Elephas maximus indicus: one gene and its partners. The protein of the gene in region 1 purifies or fractionates together with the protein of each later gene. This does not show direct contact. Links are inferred from orthologs where the notes say so. Each region holds a gene or a part of one and is shown in the gene's direction. Other genes may lie near its edges. The genes, in order: COPS6, TOR1AIP2, CUL4A and KLHL15.

Region 1 (7,362 bases):
ACACAGCCACCAGGTATACCCTTTTATAAAGCAGCTCTTAACTTGCTACTGAAACTGAAAGCCTGACCCATTGAGGCTTTGTAACACTCTAGGCTGATATCCCCATTTGGGGCCAGTCAAGTTGAACCTGGCAAGGTGGGAAAAAGCTAAAAGTCTTTGCTAGTCAAATGGGAATTCAAGAGCACAGCCAGTCTGGCCCTAGCAGAATCTTGGTGTTGCAAAGACATGGATCAGTGGGGTCCTCAGTTCGCAGAGGTTCCTCTAAATGCCTGAGCCTAGTTCACTGATGGTTTAGCTAAGTTGAAATTGATGGTGTCCATATTGGGCTGCTGCTGTGGAAAACTGAAAGCCGACATTGTTGCTCTGCTCAGTAGACAGAACTCAAGGTTGTTCTCATAAGCCTGGCCAATACTCCCCCTGACAAACCTTGCTGCATTTTACTGAACTGGGCTGTTGCCAGTGGTCTAGCTGGTCGACCACTTGGAAGACTACAGAAAGGCAAATTGAAGACACCCGCTTGAGGGCTGTGAACTGTGGAAACAAATCTTTGCTGCTAATCTGACAGTTGGGTCAGTCATGTAGATGCCCATGGTAGGGGCCTGTTCTCTGCTGAGACTGACGGGTACCAAGCTGTTGATCAATCCTGCACTGCCCAGAAGCCACATTGCATAAGACCTTCCCCCTCCCCCTCCTGCTCCTGGTAAATTGACTATATAGGACCTTTGACGCCCTCTAGGGGCTACTCTTGGTGCCTCACCTCTGTTCACACTTCTTTAGGTTGTGGTGTCCCTGTTCCAGTCCTATCAGCTGACTCAGGCCACATCATGATTGGCCCTTGAAACTACTCTTTTATGCTTTAGGCTTTCCAGATCCTCTCCAATCTGATAATGGTACACCTTTTTTTTTTTTTTTTTTGCAAAGGCCGCCCAATAATGGCCAATTGTCAAGTTATGTGATAGACATTCCACACTCCCTACCATCTACAGCATCTAGTTGCCAAGTGCTGGAACGGCCTCCTCTAAAATCAGCTCTACTTCCCTCATCTCCTTCTGCTCTGATCTAGTAGGATGATCTAGTCACTGAATGCCACTGTCCCCCAAGAGAGGGGCCACCTCATCTCCTCTTGGCCACCTCTTGGGTAATGATCAAGATGAAAGAGGTGATAGATTATACTTATTTTGAGAATTTAGAATTCCGCCCTGACTGTTCCTCAGTATGATGCATCTTTTTTTCCCTAATGGCTATGCCAGGCCAACCTTAGTACACCCTCTGGGTGCAGCCTAGTCAAAAGCGGGCTTAGGGAATTCAGGCTTAATTCTGATTCTGCCACGGGTATTCTCTTGTTGGATTGATGTGGTCCTAGATCATGAAGACAATGACCACTTGATTGAGTACACTACTCTCCAGGTCCCCCCAAAGTGGTCTACATATGTCAAGGTGGGGGATATAATGGGTCTTTATAAATTTTGTAAAAATGCCCTTGTCTCACACACACAAATCAGGGATGACTGGAGAAAAAATTAGGATCAATTGATGCTCTCTTTATCCTCTAGATCCAGCACTGCAGCAGGGCAAAACCATCAGATGGTCTGTCTGAGTCACACTGGGTTTGTCATCCTTGTCCATGTGCTCGAAAACAGAAAAAAATCATGCGGAGCAGCCAGTCCTGGGCTATTCTTCTGTGTCTGGTGCTGTAAATGGAAACCCCTGAATGTGGTCCCTCCCTTCACATGTGGACAGATACTGGACCGGCACAACCTTGTTGCGAACTGACTGATATGGATTCATATGCTTCTCCTGCTGTCCAAGAGTCCTTGGGTCAGCAAATCCTATTGGCTCTACCTTCAAAATCTATCCTGACTTCAAGCAGACTCACAGGACTGCTGAGTAGGTTGTGCAGGTTGTACCCTGTCAAAGGCAGTTGGGTGAAGGGGTAGGTGGAAACTGAAATCCAGCCTAAGCTCCAGAGTGGATGCCTTCTTCTAATGTCCATGAAGGCATGTGGATAACTGGTCATCTCCTTATTTCCACTTCTGTTGTCCTTGACCAAACTACCAGCACCTCTTACCTGGATTATAACAATAGCTTTTTACATGCTTCTTCTGCCTTTGCCCCCTACACTCTAATCTCCACACATCAGCCTGGTGATCCTTTAAAACCTTAAGTCAAATCATGTTATGCCTCTGTTCAAACGTCTTTTTTTTTTTTTTCTACTTCACTCGGACTGAAAGCCAAAGTCTTTATAATGGCCTACAAGGCATCACATTACCTAACCCTGTCACCTCTCTGACTTCATGTCCTATTATTCTCTCTCTCATTCACACTGCTCCAGCCATTGACTTTCTTGTTATTCCTGAAATATACCATACATTGTCTTGGCTCAAGACCTTTGCACTTGTCCCCTTTGTTTGGAACATTCTTCCCATGAGCTATCATCATGCCTTGCTTCCTCGCTCCATTCAGGTCCCTGTTCACTTTACGTGAGAAGTTTTCCATGTAAAATAGCACCCCTCTAGATCAGCTCCACAAGGTCAAAACTTTGTTTTGTTCAGTACTGTATCTCCACCATTTAAAACTGTGCCTGCCACGTAGTAAGCACTCCTAAATATTTGTTGAATAAATGACTAATGGATAACCACTGACCCAAAAGAGGTACAATTTCTTGGCAACACCACAGGCTCAAAGCAATCAGTGACCCAGTCTTGGCTCTCTCTGAGCAGATCCTCTGCTCTGTTCCCCACCAGCAGGATTCCTGTCCTTTCCATAGTCACCCTGTGGATGGACAAGTTACCAAAACAACAAAGTGATGCGTTGAATTTAGTTTTGTTTTAAGGTAGGAAGAGAACCTAAGGATGACTGTCTTAACACCAAAATTTCAACTTGAGTTTTTTGTCGTTTTTAAAAATACAGTGCAGTTTTAAGAAATGCCCAGTAAGCTTACTTCTGAAGCATGTATTATCAACTGGTTCAGTTTCAAAGTCATCCTTAAATTCCCCCAATAACCACTGTTTTATGAGTTGAATAATGTTTCCAGAGCATTTGAAACAAAGACAAAGGAGTGCTTTAATGTGTGAAACAACACAGCTGTGAACTTTATTAACACTACAATAATTCTTGTCTTTTTTTTTTTAACTTTTCAATGTAGCCGTCTACCATTTTAAAAAGAAAACCATTTTTCTGAGCTTATTTTTCCTAAGTGAGGCATATATGATTTTCTTCAACAACCCTCTCAGTTGATGGGCACCTGGGTGTGGGGTGTTACTCACTGTGGATTAGAGGGGAAAAAACTCTTTCCTAATTTCCCCTTGGCCAGAAGACTCCTCTCCCTGCAGGATTTCTCAGTCTCCTTCCTTTGAAGGTTCTTGCCCTTCAAATTCCTTTCTTCCAGACTCCTAAATGAAGAGATTGACCAATGATGCAAGTCACCATTATCACCAGAACACATTTCCTGGTACCTGCTGGTTCTGGGCCCTAGACTGGGCTCTGCAGGATCACAAAACAGGCACCTGACAGGATCTCTGTCTTCTAGGAGCTTACACTTTGGGTTGGGGTATGGATGCACACTAGAAGTGCCAGCTAGACAGGGGCAGCTGTGTATACAATTTGCATGAGCGTAGGAGTGGGCTGGAGTGGGTTGGGAGGTTTGCCAGGTGAGTTTTTCACAGACTGCAGGGGATGGCGGGTAGAAGGAAGTTGGGTTTTGAAAAAATGTGGTACCAATATCTGGAAGAAGGCAAGATAGCACATGCATTTAGCACCACTTGAGACCCGGTTCCGCCCCTATTTATTCATGCAAAAAGTACTTAAATGCCTCTGTGTCAGATATTGTGTTGGTTATACACGGGGATCACGGGAATACCAGTGATGAACAAACCCTTGGGTGGGGGTGAGTTGGGCATGTGGGAGGAATGTGGCTAAAGCACAGGACCAAGGGATAGAAAAGTATGAGGTGAAGGTAGACCGGCAGGTGGGGATCAGATCACGCAGGTCCTTGCGTTTGGTGGTTAGGTGTTTGGATTGTATCCAGAGGGCAATAACATGACATTTAATTCATTTTCCAACAGCCTTAAGAACTAGGTGTTCTTATCTCAATTTTACTCAAGGTCACCAGCGGAGAGAGATGGGGGCAGGGTCTATGAAAATTTGTCGGGTTCAGGCGCCTCGAGGGCCTCCTGGTTTGCCGGCTGACAGGGCCGCCCGCGCCGCCCGCAATGGTCGGGTGAGAGGAGCAGCTGGAGACCGCCAAACCGAAAGCTCACCCAACGCCAGGGCAGGCGCGCTCAACTGAGCATGCGCCGCTGCTCCGTACGGAAGCCGAGAAGGAGGGGGTGGGACCAAGGCTGGCGGGCGTGGGGAAAATGGCGGCGGCGGCAGCTGCTGCGAACGGGACCGGAGGCAGCACCGGGATGGAGGTGGATGCATCAGGTAACGGGCCCGGCGGGGACGGTTTCTGGAGACACTCTTTCGGGTGCAGTAAGACCTTTCTGGACTCCCGGGAGAAGTCAGGAGGACAGAACGGCCACATCTTTCCCTGGGATAACTCGCAGAGGGATGTAGGGCCCGGGTTCTGCCGTCCCCCACTCCCGTCCCCAGGGAAGAACGTGGTGCCCGGACTGTGACTCTCACCCCTTTCTCTCCACCCTTAGTAGTCCCCAGCGTGATGGCCTCCGGAGTGACTGGTAGTGTTTCCGTCGCTCTTCATCCCCTTGTCATTCTCAACATCTCAGACCACTGGATCCGCATGCGCTCCCAGGAGGGGCGGCCTATGCAGGGTGAGTGTTTGGCATAATTTTCCAACCCCCTCCCATTGGTCACCTTCCCCAAATGGTGAACTTTTCCCCGGTAACTACTCCCTTGTTTTACTGAGGCCAACTCCCTCTCCCTGAATCGCTGCTTTCCCAATACTTGGTTCCTACTGACCTCAGGCTTTCCGGGAAAGTTTTGGAATTCCTTATACAGGTAGTCCTCGACAACGAATGTCGAGTTTGAGTTAGAATTCGAGTTGGGACAAACTGCACTTAGGACTTCTGGTTTTTTCATTTCATACATCTTATCATTAGTAATATGTATTACAGTGTTGTCGCTCATAATTTGCTGATGTTATTCTCAGATGTTCACTCATAGATGTTCAATGTTGTGATTTATAAAGCTAAAACCAAAATCAGACCCGTTGCCGTCGAGTCGGTTCTGACTCATAGGAACTCTATAGGACAGAGTAAAACTGCCCCATAGAGTTTCCAAGGAGCGCCTGGTGGAGTGAAACTGCCGAAGTTTTGGCTAGCAGTTGTAGCACTTAATTACTATGCTATCAGTGTTTCCTTTATAAAGGTACTGATGATAAAAGGCAATAATAATGAAAACAAAAACGACGTATTCAACTTACGTGGAAAATCACTTACTACAGAGTCATCAGAACAGAACCCATCGTAAGTCAGGGACTACCTGTACTCACTTAATGTGTGTCTTCTCCCCAGTGATTGGGGCTCTGATCGGGAAGCAGGAGGGCCGAAATATTGAGGTGATGAACTCCTTTGAACTGCTGTCTCACACCGTGGAAGAGAAGATTATCATTGACAAGGAATATTATTACACCAAGGAGGAGCAGTGTGAGAGCGGAATAGAAGTGGGGGAGAGGCATGGGAGTAAAAGCAAAGGGTGGTGGGGAGGGGGGGCGGGGAGAAATAGATAGGATTGGGAAGAAATAAACAGGAGAATGGGATGAGAACAGGGAAAGTAAGATGAGAGTAGCTGAAAAGATCTCAGAAAAAGAACACATTCAGGTCCAGACCCTCCCCCACAAAAAAGTAAAGGATGAGAGAAGACAGGATAAAACCAAAAACCAAACCCAGTGCCGACTCGATTCCGACTCATAGCGACCCTATAGATAGAGGGAGTAATTATTCTAAAACAAGCCAGGATTTGAGGGAGATGGGGAACAGATGATGAAAGTACACCAGGAGCTTCAAAGTGAGGAAGGATGGTTTAAAGGAATACTATGTGCTTTGGCCCCTTCCTCTCCAGTTAAACAGGTATTCAAGGAGCTGGAGTTTCTCGGCTGGTATACCACAGGGGGGCCGCCTGACCCCTCCGACATCCACGTCCATAAGCAGGTATACATGCTCACACATGTGCATGCTGGGGCAGAGGCTAGAGGATGAGGGGAAGAGGAGAGAGAAGGCATTGACTTTCTTGTCCTTCTTCCTCCTGTTCTAGGTGTGTGAGATAATCGAGAGTCCCCTCTTTCTTAAGTTGAACCCTATGACCAAGCACACAGATGTGAGTAATACTGACCCCATGCCGTTTTAACCATGCCTCTCTGTTACTGTTTCTTCTAGCCTTTCTCTGTTCTCTTTTACTGGATGACATTACTTCTGTGTTGGGGAATGCCAGAGTTGAACCTCTGTTCTGCAGCTCTGTGACTTTGTCTAATCATTTTACACCTAAGCTGCATTTTCCTCATACGTAAAAGGGATGGTCTCTACTTCACTGGGTTCTTGGGGGTATTAAATGAGAAGATGTGTGAAACAGCCCTGTCCAGTTCTTGGCACATTTGATGTTAGAACTGTTCTCCATCTCTTCTTTACAGCTTCCTGTCAGCGTTTTTGAATCTGTCATTGATATAATCAATGGAGAGGTAATACCCTACCCTTCAACCCTCAGATCCTGCTCTTGGCCTGTTTCCTGCTTTTGACCCTCTGTGGGGTACTCTGCTCTGTAGGCCACAATGCTGTTTGCCGAGCTGACCTACACCCTGGCCACAGAGGAAGCTGAACGCATCGGTGTAGACCACGTGGCCAGAATGACAGCCACAGGCAGCGGAGAGAACTCCACTGGTAACGGAGACTGGCGGAGCTTCCTTGCAAGCAGGGGTAGAAGGGAGGCCACGTGTCTTCTCCCCCTTCACCTGTCCCTGTCCCTGCAGTGGCAGAACACCTGATAGCACAGCACAGCGCCATCAAGATGCTGCACAGCCGTGTCAAGCTCATCTTGGAGTACGTCAAGGCCTCTGAAGCAGGTGGGACAAGTGCCTCCCTGGCACTCGTACCATCTTTCCTCTACTTCCTGAGGTACCAACAGCCTCCATACTAATGCAGTCTGCTTTTGTGCCTTTAGGAGAGGTCCCCTTTAACCATGAGATCCTGAGAGAGGCCTATGCTCTCTGCCACTGCCTCCCTGTACTCAGCACAGATAAGTTCAAGACAGACTTTTATGACGTGAGTGTGAAGCCCAGGATGGGGAGGTGGGGCTCAAGCTGTTTTTGCATGCAGGACATGGGATTCGGGTGTTCCCTGAGCATACGGTAAAGGATCCCCTGGGGAACTGGTTCTTTCTGTTCCCTCCCAGCAATGCAATGACGTGGGG
Region 2 (6,829 bases), on another chromosome or scaffold:
TCTCGGGGTGTTGGGCAGTGGTTGCGGTGGTCAGGGAGGTAGCTGAGAGTCGCCGGGGCCGCCACCTGCGTCGTCGCTGCAGTGCTGCAAACCCGCCTCTGGGCCCATGGTGGCTCCTGTGGGCTGTGGGAGAGGCAGTGCCTGGTTTGGGTCAGCTGCTGTGGGTCACTCCCGCCTCCTGGCTGGAGGCACCAAAGAGGAGGAGAAGGAGGAGGAGGACGTTGCTGTCCTCGGCCTTGAGGGAGGGAGGGGAAGGGGCAACAAAAAGGGACAAGTGGCTGCGCAAATTGCCTGTCCTAAGCCCGGCGCTGCCGGCAGGTGTTGGCTGCGCGCAGGAGACGCCTGTCATGGCCCCCTGGACCGAGCGTCTGGGAAAAGCCAGTGGGACGAGGGTGAAGACTTGTTTCAGTCCTCGACTTCAGGCTGTTGCGCAGTTTTCCTGGGATGTCTTTTGATCGACCGCTACCGTGGCCATACCCTTTCAAGTGTCCCTGGCAAGAGTGACGCTTACGTCTTTGGCACATGTCTTCTTTTCACGGCGAAACTTAAAATTTCAAGTTTCTTATGAAGGCTGTCACCCAGTTTTAAGTCACCCGTTAAGAGTGTACAAAGTCGTATCTACTGTCGAACTCGGTGGATCTCCGTTTTAGAGATGCGTGCATAGCATACGTTCGAATATAAGCTCTATTCCAACAGCAGGTTCGTAGTACTGCGTTATGCACAGTGAGAAATAAATACTTTTTATTAAAGGCAGTGCTGTATTTTAAGTTGTGACCCATTATTTTCATTTTGATCCTGGGCGTGGCTTGATATAGTGCATTTGGTTTAGAGTTCCTGTGTTTACTGAGTAAAAAAAACACGATAAAAGCCATTTGTTTCCCCACCACGCTTAGAGATTTGGATAATCAGCAAATTAACCAAATTTAGTAAGCTGAGGGAAAATCGATTAAGTCTGAATAATTATTGAAAGAAAGCTGTATTATATACACTCTTGTCTGCTTGGAGGGCTTTATGGTTGATTGTAGTAAGCAGATGAAAAAAATTCGTAATTTGGATACCAATTACAATGAATAATTATGAAAAAATTGAAGGTGCTAACAGGTTTCTTTCAAGTATTTTACTTAATCACCTTAGAATGTTTATTATACTCATTTGCTCAAAATTGGGCCAAATTTCAATTTAATTAAGTCTTTTTTTTTTTAGGTGTATTATGCTTTCACTAATAGTCTAAATTTGGTTACAGATACAAGGAATTACATGCTTTAGAGAGTCTCTTAGCCCGTTAAGAGCTTAGCTTATTTTAGCTTCGTTTATTATAAGCTGGAGGAAAAGTAAAGAGAGGGAGTTTTCCTCCTCCTTTTTTAATCTTTTAAGGGAAATTGAAACAGGTATTGTCCCTTGTTAGCCTGGGTTAGGTGGTACATGTGGAAAATTTGCAGGACACAATGCAGAAAAGTAATAATACTTGGTAACAATTGGCTTTTATTTATGGTTCTTTTAATTAAAAAATACGTATTGTATCTTTGGTGAAAATTTACACTGCAAATTAGGTTCCCATTTAACAATTTGTATAGTACTATTCAGCCACATTGGTTACATTTTATTTAAGTAATGCCTTCTCTATAGCATGGTTAGTATATTACTCATTATTAACACATAACAGTAAATGTTTGTTAATAGGTATTATTAAAAGATATAAAACTTTATTAATACACAAAGTTCATATTATGATTATTAAAACATTAAGAGCCTCTTTGAAACATTTACCAGGAAGGTGACTATATAGAAATGTGGATACAGGTTTATAAAACTTAGGTTTGGAGGAGATATTACAAGAGAGAATGATGAGAGCTTTTATATATTATTGAATAATCACATATATTAATTTGTAACTTAAAATGCTTTTAAATGCTTAAAAACAGCTTTCAGAATAAATGAATCATGAGAATCTTAAAAGTGGAGTCACATTCACTTAGGATTTTCCCTCTGTTTACGTAATAAGGATACATAATCCCAGCTTTTCTGTAACTGCCTCCCACACCTAGTAACTTTACAGATAAAATTGTTTTTGTACATGAGTTTTTTGTTTAGGGTAAACAAATTCTAAGGAGCCCTGGTGGTGCAGTGGTTAAGCACTTAGTGGCTAACTTAAAGCTTGGCGGTTTTGAACCCGCCCAGCTACTTAGCAGGAGAAACACCTGGGGATCTGTTCCTGTAAAGATTACAGCCTAGAAAGCATTATGGAACAATTCTGTCACACGGGGTCGCTAAGAGCTAAAATCAACTTGATGGCACCTAACAAAAAGTAGGAATCCAGTTATTTACCAAGTAAACATCTATAATATTCGCAACGTTTCTGGTCGTACAGGGAAATACCTTTGGGGTTCTATCTTAGAAAAGGATAATGTTAATTTTAATAAGGAAAGGTGAATAAAATATTAAATAAGAGGAAGTAAATTTTAAGGATATAGTAACTGGCTCCACCCCCCCCATTCTCACAAGTGTTAGAAAAACATTTTAAGGACTCTTAAGATAAGTGAAAACATCTGCTGGAAATGTTATGCTGAAATTAAGAAAACTTAATGAGGTGAATGGAATATAATACATATTCTCCATATTCTTTGTTCAGTTAGAAATTAGTCAATGAATAGAATCTAAGGGTGTTCCCAATCCTGTGACTTCTGCTAAAAGAAGATATCAGAGAGGTGAAGGCACTAAAAATCAAATACTATAGGGGTTATTCAGTGAATATTTGCACTTCTGCTATGTACTGGCCAGTCCCTGCCTTTCTAGGTCCTGTGGATACAGCAGTAAACAAAATAGACCAAAAGACTAACAAAAATCCCTTTCTGACTTCTTGAAGTTTATATTCTAAGGGAGGAAACCAAAACAAAAAAAACAAACCCACTGCTGTCGAGTCGATTCCGACTCATAGTGACCCTATAGGACAGAGTAGAACTGCCCCCTAGAGTTTCCAAGAAGCGCCTGGTGGATTTGAACTGCCGACCTTTTGGTTACAGCCTTAGCACTTAACCACTACGCCACCAGGGTTTCCTCTAAGGGAGGAGTCAGACAAAAATCAAAAATAGTGTGTTGGTCATAAGTGTCATGGCAAAGGAGGCTATTTACTTGGAGAAGTGAGTAGATATCTTCTGTTTTGTCTTGCACTGATGTTCAGAAACTGGAAAACCTGAATTTTAGACTTAATTTACTTTGCCCCTAACCAATCATATGTTCTTGGGCAAATCACTTCCCTTCCTCCAGTTTTCACATTTATAAAATTAATAGGTCAAAATAATACCTCCTTTTTATTGATCATTCACTAATATCATTTAGCAGCTATCGCTCTCTACGTCATCTCATTTACTCACAGCAACCGTATTAGTCAGGTAGTATTGGCCCCACTTGATGCACGAGCAGACTGAGGCTTAGGTTAAGCAACTTGAAAAGACACACCTAGTAATGGCAGAGGCCGGATTCTAAGCCAAGTCTGACTGGTGCTTGTCGTTATCATTTGGTACCGCCTCTCACTGTCATGGTTCTGTGGGTTTTTCCAGCCTATGAATTTCAGATCCTTAAGGGGTCAGGGGCGTCAGACGTCTTGTAGAGATGCCTGGCTTCTGGTCAGGTACCAATCAGCATAAGAATCTTGGGATGTCTGCGGTTCTGTTGTGCGCATTTACCAAGTCTTTAGTTCCAGCGCCCCGCTGGCTGCTGGGGTTTAGGGTGTGGAGGGGAAGAGAGGGGGAAAGAGAAGGGAGGGGAGAGACCGGGAGACTACTAGTCCCAGCATGCCGTGGGCGCCTCCCGGCGGAGGTCGCCGTCACGTGAGCAGGGGACAGGGGACAGGAACGGTATTTAGCGGCTGCGGCCGTGGGGTGTAGCCCAGTGTTGTGGAGCAGGAAGAACACTCGAAGGCTCCCCGCACATTTGACAGTCGACGGTTTAAAACACCTGGAATTTGTAAGTAAACAAAATGCATATTCAACTTTTCTATGTTTTAATATTTGAACGGATACCTTCTCCTTTCAAACGCTCTTTGAGAAACGATCCCTCCCCACCCCCACCACCCTACCGCAAAAACATTAAACGGGGTAGGATGGGGGTATATTTTTGTTTTATAGTAAAAAAGGATAAACAGAATTTTAAAAGTACTAAATAGGATAAGGTGAGTGTATTTTTCTTTTTTTTGGAGAGTAAAATGAGGAGCAGAATTCTTATAAGGTTCAAAGAGTAAATGGGAAATACGAATACTAGTGCAGGTAGTGAGTAATCTTTACCTCCTTGAAAAAAGTGACATGTACCTCACAAGATCCCATCGTTCATCTTAATCCTTTTAAAATAGTTAACTTTTTTTTGTTTTTAAAGCCTTTAAAGAAAAAAACCAAAAGAAGCAAACTGGTTGACATTGAGTTGATTCTAACTCATGGCAACCCTGTATGTGTAGAGTTGTACTCCATATGGCTTTCAAGGTTATGACCTTTCAGAAGTAGATAACAGGCCTGTCTTCTGAGGCCTCTGGGTGGGTTCAAACCGCTATGCTTTCTATTAGTAGTTGACGGCTTACCTCTTTTTACCATCCAGGGACTCCTTTTAAAGCCTTAATGGTGCTAAGAAGCACAAAGTTTGAAGTTTTTGGAAGACCCTACAACTGACTTTTTCCTTAAAACCAAAAAACCAAATGCATTGCCGGCGAGCCCATTCTGACCAATAGCCACCCTATAGGACAGAGTAGAACTGCCCCATAGGGTTTCCAAGAAGCAGCTGGTAGTTTTGAACTGTCGACCTGTAGCTCTTCACCGCTGCTCCACCAGGGCTCATTTACTTACGTACTACATATTTAAAAAAAAAAAAATTGTTATGGAATCAATTCTGACTCAATAGCGATCCAGTGGGTTAGACTAGAACTGCCACATAGCGTTTCCAAGGCTGTAATCTTTACTGGAGCAGACTGCCACGCCTTTCTCCCTCGGATCCACTCCCGGATTCCAACCGCTGACCTTTCGGTTAGCAGCGGAGCACTTAACTACTGTGCCACCAGGGCTCCCATTTTTTATATATGAACCCTACTTTCTATTGTATTTCATACCCAATGAAAAAGTTTACACCTTTTTCTTCTTTCAACCAAGCCTGTAGTCCTCCATACTTTGGCACTATCTACTTTGTCAGCAGTACTTGTTAGACTTTATACTGTTACACTCACATGGATATGAGTTCACTCTGATTGAACATACTGGCTTTGTTTCACTTTTATCTATCCTTAGGTTTAAGAGCAGTTATTTTGGGTCTATATGAGAGATGTTTTCCTTGTCTGTTTTTTAAGAATTAGAAACATGGCAATTATCCATATTTATCTGTTTTATTTTATTTTATAGCACGTGATTAGTATATAAACGGCCAGTGGAAAATCAATTTAATAGAAAAAGGAACTTCATGGTAAGCCACAAAACCAAACCAGTTGCTATAGAGCCCACCCTGACCCACGGCGACCCCAAGTATGGCAGAGTAGAACTTTGCTCCATAGGGTTTTCAAGGTTGTGACCTTTTGGAAGCACGTTGCCAGGCCTGTCTCCCATGGCACCTCTGGGTGCGGGTCGAACTGCCAACTTTTTGGTTAGTAGGTGAGGATTTATGGTCACGTGTTTAACTGTTTATGCCATCCTGGGACTCCAGTATATAAATGGCCAGTGGAAAATCATTAAATAGGAAAAGGAATTTCATGGTAGAGGAACTAAAAATGTCCTTGGAAGCCTTTGTGTGGATCAGAAGAGTTTGAAAAACTGATATTCGCTGTGAAAAAGTGACAGCCCTCAGGAATGTTTATTATGTTGAGTATAGACTCCACAACTTGATTACCGGTTTTGCTGCTGGTTTATCACATAACCTTGGGTGACTCATTTAAGCTCTATTTTTCCTAGTTTCCTATCTAATGTAGAGGTGACAGTATTAGCCTAAAGAGCTTCTATAATTCACAAATAAACCGACTTCAGAATTTAGCTAATTGTTTGAGAATTATTGGATATTTTAATAATTTATTTTGTCTCATATATAATTTATTTTGCCTAAAAAATCATTTCAAATTATATTCTACAAAAATGTATGTTTCTGTAAAGTGCCACCTGAGTTTGCTGAAGGAAGGTTTGCTCAGAATAGCTACACTAAACAAACCTCTTTTAAAGGGAAGGATTCCAAATGTAAAAGCACATAAAGGGATTCTACAAGCTCCAAAAAAAATAACAACTAAAAATGGCCTCTTTTTGTTTTTGAACTTAAGATTTTAGTTGTATTAAAATCTTATTAATATTTCTGTACCTTTCAAACTACTCATTAAACTGCTTGCTACAAGAGAGAATTCAATACGGTGATTATATTTTATCATAAACTTTAAACAGAAAATCAAGCATTTGGGAATAAGGAAGGATGTCCCCAGCGTTGGTTATGAGCATAAACTTTGGAGTCAGGGTTGGGTTTGAATTCCTGTTGTGTCAGTGTGACTTCAAGCTCATTTCTTCACTTACAAAGTGAAGATTCATAGGGTAATTTGGAATATTAAATGGGATAGTTTAAGGACTCAGTAAACGGAAATAGTTATTGCTCTTTGGGCTACTTTTCTCTTCATTACTATAAAAGGAGTTGGCACATGATTTTGGTGGTTGAAACAGAAAGGAAGAGAATTCACCTATAACTCTGCTACCGCAACAAATCAAATTGTTTTCATTTTTATATATTCTCCTTCAGACTTTCACCGTAGGTATACATAATGTAAAAATGTAGTTACCTTTGTGCAAAAAGTCAAATTTAAAACATTGGTTTGTTAACTTCTGAGGGT
Region 3 (6,850 bases), on another chromosome or scaffold:
AGCAACTTTTGACTCTAGAGAGATCTATATTTTAACTATACTTCTGCCACTTACAGGGTACACTGACGTGAGACAAATTTTGTCGTTGTTGTTGTTAGGTGCCACAGCATCGACAACTCGTAGTGACCTCATGTGATAGAGCAGAGCTGCCCCACAGGCTTTTATTCTAAGCTGTAATTTCTAGGGGAGCAGATCACCAGGTCTTTCTCGTGAGCTGGATGGGCTTGAACTGCCAACCCTTCGTTTAACAGCCGAGAGCTTAAGTTGTGCCACCAGGGCTCTCTGACACAAATTTTACCGGTACTTTTTTTTTTAAATGGTAGTAATTGGAGCCCTTGTAGTGCAGTGGCTAAGCGCTCAGCTGCTAATGGGAAAGGTGGTTCGAACCCACCAGCTGCTCCGTGGGAGAAAGATGGGGCAGTCTGCTTCTGTAAAGATTTACAGCCTGGGAAACCCTATGGGACAGTTCTACTCTCGCTATAAGTCAATTCAATGGCAAGAGGTTTGGTTTTCTGGTTAAATGGTAGCTGTTGTTGTTACATGCTGACGAGTCAGTTCCAAATCACAGCAACCCTTTGTACAACAGAATGAAACACTGCATGGTCCTGCGCCATCCTCACAATTGTCAATAGGCTTGAGCCCTTTGTTGCAGCCATTGTGTCAATGCATCTTGCTGAGGGTCTTCCTCTCTCACTGACCCTCTACCTTACCAAGCATAATGTCCTTCTCCAGGGACTGATCCACCCACTGACAACATGTCCAAAGTATGTGAGACAGAGCCTCACCATCCTCACTTCTAAGGAGCATGCTGGCTGTACTTCTTTCAAGACAGATTTGTTCATTCTTCTGGTAGTCCATGGTATATTCAACATTCTTTGCCAACACCATAATTCAAAGCCATCGATTCTTCTTTGGTCTTCCTTATTCATTGTCCAGCTTTAGCACGCACATGAGGCAAGTGAAAATATCATGTCTTATTCCTCAAAGTGATATCTTTGCCCTTTAACACTTTAAAGAGGTCTTCCGCAGCAGATTTCCCCGATGCAATAGGTCATTTGATTTCTTGACTGCTGCTTCCATTGGCGCTGATTGTGGATCCAAGAAAAAACGAAATCCTTGACAACTTCAATATTTTCTCCATTTATCACCATGTTGCTTATTAGTCCAGTTGTGAGGATTTTTGTTTTCTTTATGTTGAGGTGTAATCCATACTTAAGGCTGTAGTCTTTGCTCTTCATCAGTATGGTAGTAACTATGACTAAATATTGGCTAGCACTAGGACTACAACAGTCGCATAGTTGCTAGCTCCATCTCCTATTTGAATTACCTCAAATTCATCACTTCACATTTCCACCAGTGCCTATTCGAAACAAAAATGGGACTAAACCAGACCCTTGGTTAAGACTTCAATGGCTGCCCAAGGGCTAAATCCAAACTTCTCGGCGTCGCTTACAGGCTCTTCAAGGCCCACGAGAACCCACGCCTCTCCCGCCGCAGCCCCCCGCATCCCTAAATCGAAAGCACCGACCATTTGGTTCCTCCCTGAATTCCCAGCAAATCCAGTAAGTCTATATACCCAAACCATGATTAATTCCCATCTTGCACACAAGAGCTCAGAAATACTCAGCAAACACTAGGTGACCTGCCCAGCAGACCGTGAAGCTGTGTCTGGGTACCGTATGTCCGCACCCCAGCCCTGTCGCTTCACACTAATGCAGGAAAGGCTGTGACGTCGACTCTCGGTTCGAATCCCTCCCAGGACACCCATGTCACCGCCGCCCATCAGTAAAGCCCAGGAGCCAACGGAGCAACGGGCAGGGAAGCAGTCACAGACCTCAAGAGAACGGAACACAACGGCGACAGCGGCCGGGGGCGCCCGCGCACTGCCACTGGTCCTCCCCCAGCGAAGAAATTACCTGCTGCAAGTACTGGTTGATGGTGATGTGCGCCATGGAAGCGGCGGCCAGTCCTGCGCTCAGTCTGGCCGACACCAGCCTCTCCCACTTCCGCCCGCGCGCTGACGTCACTTCCGGCCCAGCGGCGGAGCGCGCGCCCGCCGCCCGGCCACGCCTTCCTCTCGGGGTCGCTGGGAGGGGGCGCTCCCGGGGGGCCGGCCCTCTTCCACCGTGGGCTGAGGGAGGCGGCTGAGGGATGCTCAGGGAGGAGGCTCAGGGGGGAGGCTCAGCGGGGAGGCTGAGAGGGAGGAGGCCCAGGGAGGAGGCTGAGAGGGAGGCTCAGGGGGGAGGCCCAGGGAGGAGGTTCAGGGAGGAGGCTGAGGGATGCTCAGGGAGGAGGCTGAGGGAGGAGGCCCAGGGAGGAGGCTGAGGGATGCTCAGGGAGGAGGCTGAGGGAGGAGGCCCAGGGAGGAGGCTGAGGGATGCTCAGGGAGGAGGCTGAGAGGGAGGAGGCCCAGGGAGGAGGCTGAGAGGGAGGAGGCCCAGGGAGGAGGCTGAGAGGGAGGAGGCCCAGGGAGGAGGCTGAGGGATGCTCAGGGAGGAGGCTCAGAGAGGAGGCCCAGGGAGGAGGCTGAGAGGGAGGAGGCCCAGGGAGGAGGCTGAGAGGGAGGAGGCCCAGGGAGGAGGCTGAGGGATGCTCAGGGAGGAGGCTGAGGGATGCTCAGGGAGGAGGCTGAGGGATGCTCAGGGAGGAGGCCCAGGGAGGAGGCTGAGAGGGAGGAGGCCCAGGGAGGAGGCTGAAGGATGCTCAGGGAGGAGGCTGAGGGATGCTCAGGGAGGAGGCTGAGAGGGAGGAGGCCCAGGGAGGAGGCTGAGGGATGCTCAGGGAGGAGGCTGAGGGATGCTCAGGGAGGAGGCCCAGGGAGGAGGCTGAGGTGCCTTCCCGGCGGACTTCCTCTCGCCAGCTCTCAGCGAGGCAGCTCCCTCGCTCGCGTTCTCGGTTTTTGTTTGGTTCCACCGGCAGGCGCAGGACCACAGACTGGGGCAATGGGGGTTTTCATGGGAGTCCCTGGGGAGCCGAGGGTTGCCGTTTCTCGGCGGAGAACAGCCTCATGGCCTCGCTGCCGCGCGATACCCTCGGCTCCTGCGTGTTCAAAGGAAAAATCCCACCGCCGACGGGGACGGGACCGTGTCTACACACCCTTCCCCCGACCGCCCTGGTCCTCGGCGCCCCGGGCCGCGCACGCGCGGTGGCAGCGGCCGGTGTCCATCCCGCTGGCAGCGCGACCCCGCGGGCCCGTAACGAGGGCGGGGGCTCCTGGGGGTCCCGGGGGTCCGGCCGCTCCGGGGCCCCTCGGCCTCTCCGTACGAGCTTCCGCCCGCAAAGGGCCGCGCCACTGGCGGACCGAGATGGGGACAGCCATGAAGAGCCGGCCCCGAGTCCAGGGCGCTGCGCCGTGGGGCGGGGGACCCGGGATCGAACAGGGGACCAGGCGCGAATCGGCGGTTGGGAGCAAGCTCGTGGAAGGCCCGGCGGTGCCGCGGCTCGCGCGGCCCCGGCCCCCTTCCCGAGGCGGAGTCCCGCGGCCCGGGCCGGGGCAGGGGGCGGGCCCCGGGAAGTGGAGGCCGCTGGCGGGGGCGGAGAGGAGGCCGGGTTCCGGCTCCGGCCGGCGGCGGTGTTTACGGCGCGCGGGCGCAGGCTTCCAGCGGGCGGCCGTGCGGGCGCGGAGAACTTTTATCTGGGAGAAGGGACGGCCGGCGAGGGACGAGCGGGGCGGCGGCCCCGGGCGCGCTCTCGGCGGAGGCTCCCGGGACTCCCTTCGCTCCGCGGCCGCCGGCGAGGCCTAGCTCGCACCCCGGAGGGGCCGGGGCACCGGGCAGGGGCGGAGAAGGAGGCGGGGAGAGCAGGCCGGGGCAGGAGGAGGAGGAGGAGGAGGAGGAAGCGCGGCCGGGCCGCGACTGGAGGCGGGAACAGGCCGAGGGCGGGGGTGGGGCGGAGCGGCCGCCGCCGGTTTGTTTTCTCGGCAGTAGACATGGCAGACGAGACCCCCAAAAAGGGAAACTTTTCGGCTCTCGTCGGGCACACCAATGGCCTCACGAAACCTGCCTCCCTGGCAGCCGCCGCCGCCGTCACCACCAAACCTGGGGGCGGCAGCGGCTCCAAGAAATTAGTGATCAAAAATTTCCGAGGTAGGTGCGTGAGGGCGAGCGCGCCCGGGCTGGGGGAGGGGCGGCGGAGCCGAAACGGCCTCGGGACGGGCCTGCCCCGCGCGGCCCCGGGGGCTGGCGGACACAGCGGCCGGGCCAGCACGTCCCGCCGGGGCGACGGGCCGGGGCGCGGGGCGCGGGGCGACGGACGAGGGCGCATGGCGACGGTGCGGGGCGCGGGGCGACGGACGAGGGCGCATGGCGACGGTGCGGGGCGACGGGCCGGGGCGCGGGGCGACGGGCCAGGGTGCGGGGCGACGGACGAGGGCGCGGGGCGGCGGGCCGGGGCGCGGGGCGGCGGGGCGGCGGACGAGGGCTCGGGGCGACGGGCCGGGGCGCAGGACTACGGACAAGGGCGCATGGCGACGGGCCGGGGCGCGGGGCGACGGCCGGCCGCGGCGGTCCCGGGAGGAAGGGGCGGCCGAGCGACTTCCTGCGCCCCCCGCCGGCGGCGGGTGCGTGGGGCCGCGCGGCGCGGACGTCGGAGCGGCGACGGCCAATGGGGAAGGGGCGCGGGTCGGCCTCCCTGCGCACGCGCCGCGCTGACCTGCGCCGACCTCGGCCGCGCTGGACCCTGCGGGGTCGGGGACCCAGAGCCGCCGCGGTGCTTCGGGGTCCCGCCGGGCCTGCCCTCTGCGTCTCGGCCTTCTGTCGGCCGCCGGCTAGCTTTCTAGTCTGTGCTGCCTCGTGAGATCTCTGTGTAACGTGGACATCACTTTGGTCCAGTTCCCAGGGACTTTTGGACTCCGTACACCTTTCCCGGTACCGAGTTCAGGGAGGTTTGAAATCTTGTGCGAGACTAGGACGGCACATCCCTCCCCTAAGATAGAAAGAAAGAGGCCCAGTGAGTCGGCAGTTTAGCCTCCTGACTCAGGGCGCGTACCCGGAGCTCAGCACTGTGCGCCTCAGGACGCAGACCCTGCAGAAATAGGGATCGTCCGTTAAGTGTGTACACACGGACTTTTTAAACTTCACCTGACCGCCCTAAATATGGGACATTGGAGATTTATACCATATCAGGTCTTCTTTGTAGCAGTGTTTTGTTCTCATGACTCTATGCAATTGATAGAAAAATCATAAATTAGATAAATAATGTATGGTGATTGGCACAGCTGAACCAGAATAAGCCACTACTGCGCGCGTCACTGTACTTTCTGTTACTTCCTCCACCTCTTACCACCTCTATCTTGGATAATATCTCAAAATAAGCATCTTTGATGCGGGTATATACAATTACAAGCTTACTCTTTACCTTCCAATGTTAGATAATTTATATCAATTTAAAATTGCGTAGAGCTTAACTGTGCCACGTTTATAATGTTCTGATGTCAACTTGTTAAGGAAACTAAGATGTGTAAATTTGAAGTATTCATCCTAACTAACTATTAGTACTAAGTATTGAAATAAAGATGTTACCGTTGCTTAGTCCATAACCCAAGGAATTTATAAATGCAATACTTTGAATTTGGAAAACTTGATTTTCCTGTTTTTTCTGCTTTTAAGTATTTTTCTTTGAGAACATTTTAGAAGATGTGTTACTGTCCTGTGGCAGCCCTTCTCCACTGATTCTCTTTCTGAATTTACAGACAGACCTAAACTGCCGGATAATTACACTCAGGATACATGGCACAAGCTTCATGAGGCAGTGAAAGCCATACAAAGTAGTACCTCCATTAAATACAACCTCGAAGAGCTCTACCAGGTAAGGGTCCAAATGTAGTAAACTGTAGAGTTTGCTAGAATTTCTGTTGAGACGTGAATGTGGAATTTTCTTAGACCTGGAGAAGTTCCTCAGAACTTGATTTGGTTGACATCTTGTCATTACAGTTACCTGGTTGTCTCTCTAGTTGTTTAAACGCATCGCCCAGTTCCTGTGAAATGTGATACAGGTGAAGATTCTACATTCCACTTTAAGAGAGTCAGCAGTGACAGAATATGAATCCAGAATGTCTCAGTATGTTTGCCTCAAACAGGAACAACAGGAGTCCTGTGAAAGTGGGTCCTGGTGTGTTTTTGTTCATTGGTTCTTATTGGGTTTTTATTTTGTTTTCAGGCTTAAGCTGCCTGGGAAGATTTTAGTTATCACATTGCAAGAATAAGGTGGGATGTTTTTCAGAGCCATACGATTCTAGTAATTTCCAAATACGTAGCAAATTATTATTATCACATTATGTTTATGAAATTCTTAATTGTTTTTCTTGTTAATATAGATTTCTCGCTTCATTGTGTTTTGTGATTAATTGCTGAAATGAAGTTCTGTAAACACATTTTATGTTTAATATGAAGTAATGAAATTCCATTTTTCAAGGAAGAAAATGGTTAAAAGAACATTTTATTTGAATTTTTCATTTACAACCTGACTGGTTTTTCTGATTTTTTAAAGAATAACATTCATTAACTAATAGCGGCTACGTTTTAGGCTACAATATCATATCACACAATTATTTCCATTAAAAAGGCTTGCATTTTTAAAGTTACCTTTTTTTCAGATGATGTGAGTGATTGGATTATAAAAATTATGGAAAATACAAAGCAAAAATTACCTATGCTCCCACCAGTCAAAGAAGGTTACTGCTGACATTTTCATGGACATAGTAAATAGTTTGTCTTCCTGTATGTGTTTATGATGTTTTTAATCAGCTTTATTGAAATGTAATTTACACATAATAAAATTTTTTCATTAAGTGTACATAGTTCAGTAAGCTTTAGTAAATGTATACAGCCGTGTAACCACCACCATCAAGACG
Region 4 (7,622 bases), on another chromosome or scaffold:
TCATTACAAAGTAAATAAAACTAAGTTATATGTAGAAATAACTCACCTGAAGAGACAAAAACTCCCAAATCCAATTAAAGTGACTATGGTGTACAACGGGGTATAGAGTATATATCGGGAAAGCCATCAACTTGAAAGCTAAAACTTAATAAACTGTAAAATCTGTGTTGAGAAAGGGGAGTGACACCTGAAAGGATAATCTGCTGACAGTGTCTCTAGCACCTTGAAAAACTGGAATTGCCAATCTAAAATGGAGATGTCAGTGCTATTTTAACAAAATTATAGACCTCATACAGAATTGCTACTATTTTTAAAATTGTATGTTCACACTTCATGATCTAAAACAGGGGTTGGCAAACTAGGGCTTGCAAGTCCAATCTGGCCCACTTCCAAAATCTTTCATTTACGTATTATGTACATCTGCCTTATGATAGAAGGCAGAGCTAAGCAGGTACAAGAGAGACCCTATGGCCTGCAAAGTAAAAAAATATTCACTTCCCGAAGCCACTTTTCAGACAAAGATTAGACTAGACTATAAAACATAAAATAATACTCGTGAAGGGTGAGCTTCTCAGTTCAAGCAGATACTCAAGACCAAATGGGCGGCTCCTGTCCGGAGGCAGGAAGAAAAGGCAAGAAGGGACAGGAGCTGGTTGAATGGACACAAGAAACTGGGGGGAGTGTGCTATCACGTTAAAGGGATTGCAACTAGGGTCACATAAAAGTATGCGTGTAAATTTTTGTATGAGAAATTAACTTGAACTGTAAACTTTCACTTAAGGCACAATTAAAAAAAAAAGAAAAAAAATATTTACTATCTGGCACTTTAAAGAAAAAATTTGCTGATCTCTGATCAGGGCCAAGATTAAGGTGAAGCAAGTGAAGCACTCACCTTGGGTACAAAAATTCAAGGGGGTGCCAAATTAACTTCATGATAGACAATAAAAACATAAAATAATGGAAAATAAAAAAGCCATTCCACGATTGGGTTTAAATCATTCCCTTAAATATTTCAAAAAAACAAGAAATAATATATACATAAAATGTGAAGTGTGTTTAGCATGAAAGAGATCACCTGACTAATTTGAAGTTCCCTTTGGTCCCTGGAATGTCTGTAGGAAACTCATCGGGCGTATTACTTCCACAGGATTTATAACATTCTGGCCGAGGACAACTTGGGTCATCAAGTTTATAAATCTAAAAGTTTCAATTAAAAAAAGATTTGGATTTGTTATCTGCACATTCACCAATTAAACTTAAATGGTTTCTAGTTCCATAATACACAACTCACCTTAGCATTAGCATATCCAAGTTTGATTGTAATATTTCTTTCTAGCTCATTTTTGAACCTGACAGTGTGAACTCCAGAAATAGCTTTTACAACTGTAGATTTCCCATGAGCTACGTGACCAATTGTACCTATAATCAAAGTACAGAAAATTAATCCATGTGCATCCAATTACACCAAGTATTTCTTCAAGAGTGTTAGAACAGCAAACCAAAGCCATAGCTCACATTGTAGGTATGGACATGAAACCAGTAGTGGCTTCAATTTTCCCTCCTATATATCCTTTCCTACTAAAAACTTGTTTTGACACAGGACTAAAGAGAGCTTTCTGTGTAACTGACAACCTTGTTAAAAATCATACGTGGTGAAATATGCCCAAAAAACTGGACTCACCAATGAACACCAATGTTCACTGCAGCACTATTCACAATAGCCAAAAGGTGGAAACAACCTAAATGCCCTTCAACAGATGAATGGATAGACAAAATGTGGTACATACATACAATGGAACGCTACTCAGCCAGTAGAAGAAACGAAGTCTTGATACATGCTACAAGATGGATGGAGCTTGAAGATATTATGCTGAGTGAAATCAGTCAATCACAAAAGGACAAACAGTGTATGAGCTCACTTATAAAAATATAAGAAAAGGCAAATATACAGAGAACAAAGTTTATTAGTGGTTGCCAGGGGCAGGAGAGAAGAGGAAAGGGGGAGGGGTAAACAGTGATGGAGAAATTGTACTGATTAAGGATAGAGTCATACAGCAAATTATTGTAATTGCTGCTAGTAAGTTATATACTTATAAAAAGTCGAACTGGCAAAAGTTGTGTGATAGATATACTTACAACAACAACAAATAAAGGGTAGCTGCTGAGGCTGATTATGTACAACGAAAAACCTCCTGGAATGTGGTTTCTTAGTTTGGAAGTTAAGGGTCATGGTTTCATGGGACAGCCCAGTTAATTGGCCTAATAACATGTTTAGTGCCTCTGTTCTGCCTGGGGTCTTAAAAGCTTGCAAGCACATACCCAAGGTACAACAATTGGCCTCTATTTGCCTGGAGCAACAGAGGAAGAAGGTGAGTCAGGAATAGGAGGAGGATATGGAATGTGTGACTAACTGCCTCCATGACCAAGTGCCTCCTATGTCATGAGACCAGAAGAACTGGATGGTGCCCAGCTATTGTTACTCAATATCCTGATCAAGGAATCCACAGAAGAATCTTGATCAAAGGAGAAAAATGCAGAATAGAACTTCAAATTCTCATGGACTCTAGACTTCCTGGAGCCATGGAGGCTCGATGAACCCTTGAAATTATTGCCCTGAGATAATCTTTGAACCTTAAAACAAAAAAAGCCCCTCAGGTCTTCTTAAAACCAAACGATAGTTTACCGTAACTGGTAAAAAAATGTCTGTCTTGAGCAATGTGCTCTTTTAAGAACTATCTATATGGGATCAAAGTGACACAGCAACTCAAAAAGATTAGTTAAGAACCTTAGAGGACAGTGTGTTTATGTTAATGGTGGAGGAACAACTCAGAAAAGGAGGGTGAGAATGGCTGCACAACTTGAAGAATGTAATTAATGTCACTGAATTGTACATGTAGAAACTGTTGAATTGGTGTACATTTTGCTACGTATATTCTCAACCACCACAAAAAAAACCCAACATATCCTAAATACCTAAAAAAAAAAAAAAAAATCATACAGTGTAATAATAGCTACTCACCATATGTTATTAGAGAAATAACTGACTTCATTTGAAATATACGCTCGCTAAAAAGTATAAAATATCGTGTATTATCTTGTATATTAAGAAGCTTTCTAGCATTTCCAGAGTGAGGTGACTAGATATGATGAGCCCTGACACAACTAAGAGAAATCTATGAAAATAAGAAAACAATCCAAGTTTAATTACAGTAATGCTGTCAAGGGTAGATTATATTTTAGAACTTTTTAACGGCCTTGGGTAGAGTCTAACTTCTAACTAAGCTTTACTGTGATGTTTGCACAGACTCTCAAATATCCAAAATTTACACAGTCAACGTAACTTCTCTAAAGTTCGAAGGGTGCCAATTAGGAAAAAAAAAATACTCCACTTAATAATGGCTTATATATCAAATAAGACTTTCACAAACTGCTCTCACAATAACCCCGTGCAGCAAATACAGCCATATTTTCAATTCTTCTTTATAAGACTTTCACAAACTGCTCTCACAATAACCCCGTGCAGCAAATACAGCCATATTTTCAATTCTTCTTTAAACTCCTGCTACGTACGACTATATAATTCCTTACGTTAAATTTTTCAGGGTCTGGGTTACATCCTTCCTTCTCACTCAGTCTGTAACCTAGGTATTTGCAGCATTCTCTGTGTTTCCCAAGAAATCTAGCAGGTGCTTTGTTCACAAGAGTTCAGTATCTACTTCTTATATACCTGAATCCTCATATAATTCAATTAATCACACCAAGGGAGAAGTTAAAATTACTTGCCAGTGATCAAGCACGTCAGGACTCCAAGTTATTCTTACCTATGTTAATTGTGGCTTGTCTGCTGATGACTTCGTGTGAAAGGGGTGTCAACTTGGCAACATCCTGCAACGAAACATTTTATTATAAACCACTGCACAGAAGACAAAACAGGGTTTTCCATCTGACTTTACGTTTGCTACCTATAGCTCATCACCATCTGTACAGCTCTCTATTACTTCTGAAGCGCTTTTCCCATACAAGCAATCTTGTGCTCTGATGACTGGAAAGCCCGAAGCACCCCTAATCGTTACACAACAAAAGACTACGCCTGCACTCTATGAGAAATCAGGAGGCCCGAGGCCCCCAACTTTGGAAGCTTTAGCACTGAGGGCCGTGGAGATGCTCCCTTCCCAAGCCTTCAGAGTTTGGTCAAAGCCTTAATGACACTCCGTGACGTTCCATCCGAATCCTTCAGGAGCTCGCGGTCCCACGAGCGCGCACACCCACAGCCAGCTCGCAGACCGGTCGAAGTGCAAGCGGTGGCGCGAGCGCGACGCAGGCCGCTCGGATCCGGGGCTCCCTCCTAACTCAGGCTCCCGACGGCCCGGCACTGCCTCGCCCCAACGCCTCCCGGGAGGCATGACCATCCCCACTCCCACGCTCACTCCGCGTCCTCCCAAAGCGAAACCTCACCAAGGTGGCGAGATCCTGGCTAGAAAGATGTGACTGCCCCAGAGTCACTCCCGCCTCGCCCCCCGCCATCTTGCCCAGAGAGGAAGGAAGTCGGCCAGGCTGTCGGCTGACAACACGCAAGCCCTCTGGTGAGGGGCGGGGAAGTCGAGGCGGGAAGACAGACCAGGGCCCAAGCCTAGCGAAGGCGGATGACCCATGCAGCAGGGACCTCACTGCTTGGACTTCTCTCCGCTTAGGCTCATTCAGTGCTAGTCGGCTTACTAAGAAACACAATGCAAAGTGTCGGGATCTACTAATCGCAGAACTGTTGGCTATTTGGGCAGGCAACATTTAAGGCAGCTCCAGAAAAGGTCCTTTGGCCTGGAGGGGAACGTAACACGACGCTCCGCGCTGGTAAGGGAGAAGCTATTTCCGTTTCCGGGAGCGTTGCCCGAACCGGTTTGCCGAAACTTGAGAATTTTATCTGGGGTGTGAAACTAGAATATAGAGAGACTGTCGTTATTTACCGATTCCTGGGTACAATTTAATAAGGCGAAGTCGGCTCGGGATCCGCGCTGCCTGCAACGGTGCTCGTGGCTGGGAGGAGGCCGCGTGCTGAGCGGGCTACGCTCAAGGCGCCGCGCGTCGCCTGTCAGGCTTCGGGGAGGGCGCCCTCGCGTGGAGGTTAGGGGAAGGGCTCAGGGGCGCCCGGATAGGAAAAGCAAAGTTCCTAAGTTGTTCCCAGACGGAGGTCTCTAGGGCCTTGAGAGGTGGTCCGTGGTGGCACTAGAGTGCACTCCGAAAGGATTTTGCTTCGGGGAGAAGCTAGGTGTCATAAGAGCGCCCAAAGTAAGTTTTTAAAAAAGCAGGTCCAAGAAAACCCACTTCTTTAATGGGAAGATTACCAATCGTCATTTTAAAATTTAAACAATTTTGAGACTCAAACCTTTTTTCATCGCGTGTTAAAAAGAAGTTGGGTGTTTTTTGTTTTACTCCATACATTTTTATGCTTTGCAGTTTTTCTGTTGTAAACAGGTATTCATTATTAACTGGAAAAAAGATATAAGGAGAGGTACATAAAAATTTAGGTTATATGTACCCATTGAGTACTTAAGATTAAAATGAATATGTGTTTTATATAATAAATTTTAGGTACAACGGTTTACCTAAATAGATAGCTGTGTTTCAATGAGTGCATTCACTGGCTAAGTGATGGTGGAAACTATGCTATATTGTACTTGGATGGTGATGTTTAATTCTTATTTATCTTAGCTTCTAAATAGTTATACCAGCCAATTAAGAAAACCCGTTGAGGTGGTGAAAGAGTTCCAGAATTAGATAGTGATGGTTGCACAACTTTGTGACTGTAATAAAAACCACTGAATTCTATACTTTAAAAGGGTGAATGTTATAGTATGGAAACTACATCTCAATAAAATAAAACTCATTGATAATACCTAGAAAATAACTAAATATTATGCTTCATTGTCAGAAATTTTTATTGGAAGTAAAAAGGCACAGGAAGCAATAATTAATTTCAAATTAATGAAAATAGTGGTTAAAATTATTGGCACCTAAAATTGTTGACACCTACTTACCAAATATTGGTTTAATCCTCACAACAATCCAGTGAAGTTGTTAGGTGTCATCAAGTTGATTCCGACTCACAGTGACCCTGTGTACAACAGAATGAAACACTGCCAGGTCCTGCATTATCCTCACAGTCTGTGCTATGTCTGAGCCTGTTGTTGCAGCCACTGTGTCAATCTATCTCCTTGAGGGTCTTTTGCTTTTTTGCTGACCTTCTACCAAGCATGATGTCCTTCTCCAGGCAGGCACTGGTCCCTCCTGATAACATGTCCAAAGTACATGAGACGAAGTCTCACCATCTTGCTTCTAAGGAGCATTCTGGCTGTACTTCTTCCAAGACAGATTTGTTCATTCTTTACTGCAGTCCATGGTATATTCAATATTCTTCGCCAACACCATAATTCAAAGGCATCAATTTTTCAGTCATCCTTATTCACTGTCTGTCTTTCACATACATATGAGGCAATTGAAAACACTATGGCTTGGGTCAGGCATGCTTCAGTCCTCAAAATGACATCTTTGCTTTTTAACACTTGAAGTAGGTTGTTTGCAGCAGATTGGCCCAATGCGCGTGTTGTTTGATTTTTTGGCTGCTGCTTCCATGGGCGTTGATTGTAGATCCAAGTAAAATGAAATCCTTGGCAACTTCAATCTTTTCTCTGTTTATCATGATGTTGCTTATTGGTCAGTTGTGTGGATTTTTGTTTTCTTTATAATGAGGTAGATACTATTATTCTCATTTTACAGAGGAGGAAACTGAGTCCCAAAAGGCTTAGGTAACATATCCAAGTTTCCACAGCTAGCAGCAGAGCTGAAATTCATAGCCAAGTCTGAGTATACTTTTTTTATATACTGTTTTTTTAATTGGCTTTATTGAGGTAAAATTTACGTACCATAAAATTCACCTGTGTTAGGTATACAAGTCAAAGATTTTTAGTAAATTCACAGAGTTGTACAACCATCGCCACAATCCAGGTTTAGAACTTTTCACTCACCACAAAGAGATCTCTGGTGTCCATTTGCAGTCCGTCCCCATTCCAACCTCAGAGACATTCTGTGTATATAGATTCGCTTTTTCATATAAATGGAATCATGTAACATATGGTCTTTTGCCTCTGGCTTCTTTCACCTTGCATATTGGTTTTGAGGTTCATCCATGTTGTAACACATAGTAGTAGTTTGCTCCTTTTTATTGCGGAATACAATTCCATTGTATGGATGTACCACATTTTGTGTATCTGTTCACCAACTGATGGATGTTTCAATTGTTTCTACCTGTTGGCTATTATGAATAATGCTGCTGCGGACATTCGTGTACAAGTTTTTATGTGGACATGTTGTGGTATGGTGAATTACTTAATATGGCCCTTCTAGCCATAGTCTTTGTAACTCCCACCAAATGACTAGGTGGGACTATGCAGATGAGGTGCCTGTGACCCACCAAGGGGATTGGATAGCTTGCTAATAATGTAAATAAGGCACATGTCACCCTTGTGGGGGTGGGACCAATGCAAGTAAGGCATATGGAATCCTAATGAGGGGATTGGTCAGTTTTGCCATCCCACTAGGCTTAAAATGAACCATCCCGGAGGCGGGAA

The links.
Region 2: the proteins of COPS6 (region 1) and TOR1AIP2 purify together in Homo sapiens (affinity purification with mass spectrometry, with the first as the bait; 3 studies listed by BioGRID). This does not show direct contact. The link is inferred for Elephas maximus indicus from reciprocal best matches to the Homo sapiens genes COPS6 and TOR1AIP2.
Region 3: the proteins of COPS6 (region 1) and CUL4A purify together in Homo sapiens (affinity purification with mass spectrometry; 13 studies listed by BioGRID and IntAct, counting the BioPlex papers as one, with this or other methods). This does not show direct contact. The link is inferred for Elephas maximus indicus from reciprocal best matches to the Homo sapiens genes COPS6 and CUL4A.
Region 4: the proteins of COPS6 (region 1) and KLHL15 purify together in Homo sapiens (affinity purification with mass spectrometry; 3 studies listed by BioGRID and IntAct, with this or other methods). This does not show direct contact. The link is inferred for Elephas maximus indicus from reciprocal best matches to the Homo sapiens genes COPS6 and KLHL15.

The regions. Positions count from the first base shown.
Region 1 is NC_064830.1:91,596,067-91,603,428, forward strand, and holds the start of COPS6 (COP9 signalosome complex subunit 6), read left to right. Parts: upstream 1-4,341; 5' UTR 4,342-4,358; coding exon 4,359-4,425; intron 4,426-4,646; coding exon 4,647-4,772; intron 4,773-5,474; coding exon 5,475-5,606; intron 5,607-6,021; coding exon 6,022-6,110; intron 6,111-6,213; coding exon 6,214-6,276; intron 6,277-6,586; coding exon 6,587-6,634; intron 6,635-6,718; coding exon 6,719-6,833; intron 6,834-6,922; coding exon 6,923-7,015; intron 7,016-7,113; coding exon 7,114-7,214; intron 7,215-7,344; coding exon 7,345-7,362. UniProt on the Homo sapiens protein: Component of the COP9 signalosome complex (CSN), a complex involved in various cellular and developmental processes.
Region 2 is NC_064842.1:42,817,259-42,824,087, reverse strand, and holds the start of TOR1AIP2 (torsin-1A-interacting protein 2), read left to right. Parts: upstream 1-3,814; 5' UTR 3,815-3,963; intron 3,964-5,375; exon of another isoform or gene 5,376-5,436; intron 5,437-6,829. UniProt on the Homo sapiens protein: Required for endoplasmic reticulum integrity. Regulates the distribution of TOR1A between the endoplasmic reticulum and the nuclear envelope as well as induces TOR1A, TOR1B and TOR3A ATPase activity.
Region 3 is NC_064841.1:79,608,568-79,615,417, forward strand, and holds the start of CUL4A (cullin-4A), read left to right. Parts: upstream 1-3,847; 5' UTR 3,848-3,928; coding exon 3,929-4,085; intron 4,086-5,689; coding exon 5,690-5,805; intron 5,806-5,951; exon of another isoform or gene 5,952-6,038; coding exon of another isoform or gene 6,039-6,098; intron 6,099-6,850. Other genes in the region: PCID2 (PCI domain-containing protein 2), read right to left, coding at 1,917-1,952. UniProt on the Homo sapiens protein: Core component of multiple cullin-RING-based E3 ubiquitin-protein ligase complexes which mediate the ubiquitination of target proteins. As a scaffold protein may contribute to catalysis through positioning of the substrate and the ubiquitin-conjugating enzyme.
Region 4 is NC_064846.1:155,086,264-155,093,885, forward strand, and holds the start of KLHL15 (kelch-like protein 15), read left to right. Parts: upstream 1-4,611; 5' UTR 4,612-4,848; intron 4,849-7,622. Other genes in the region: EIF2S3 (eukaryotic translation initiation factor 2 subunit 3), read right to left, coding at 1,076-1,197, 1,292-1,419, 3,822-3,885, 4,456-4,524. UniProt on the Homo sapiens protein: Substrate-specific adapter for CUL3 E3 ubiquitin-protein ligase complex.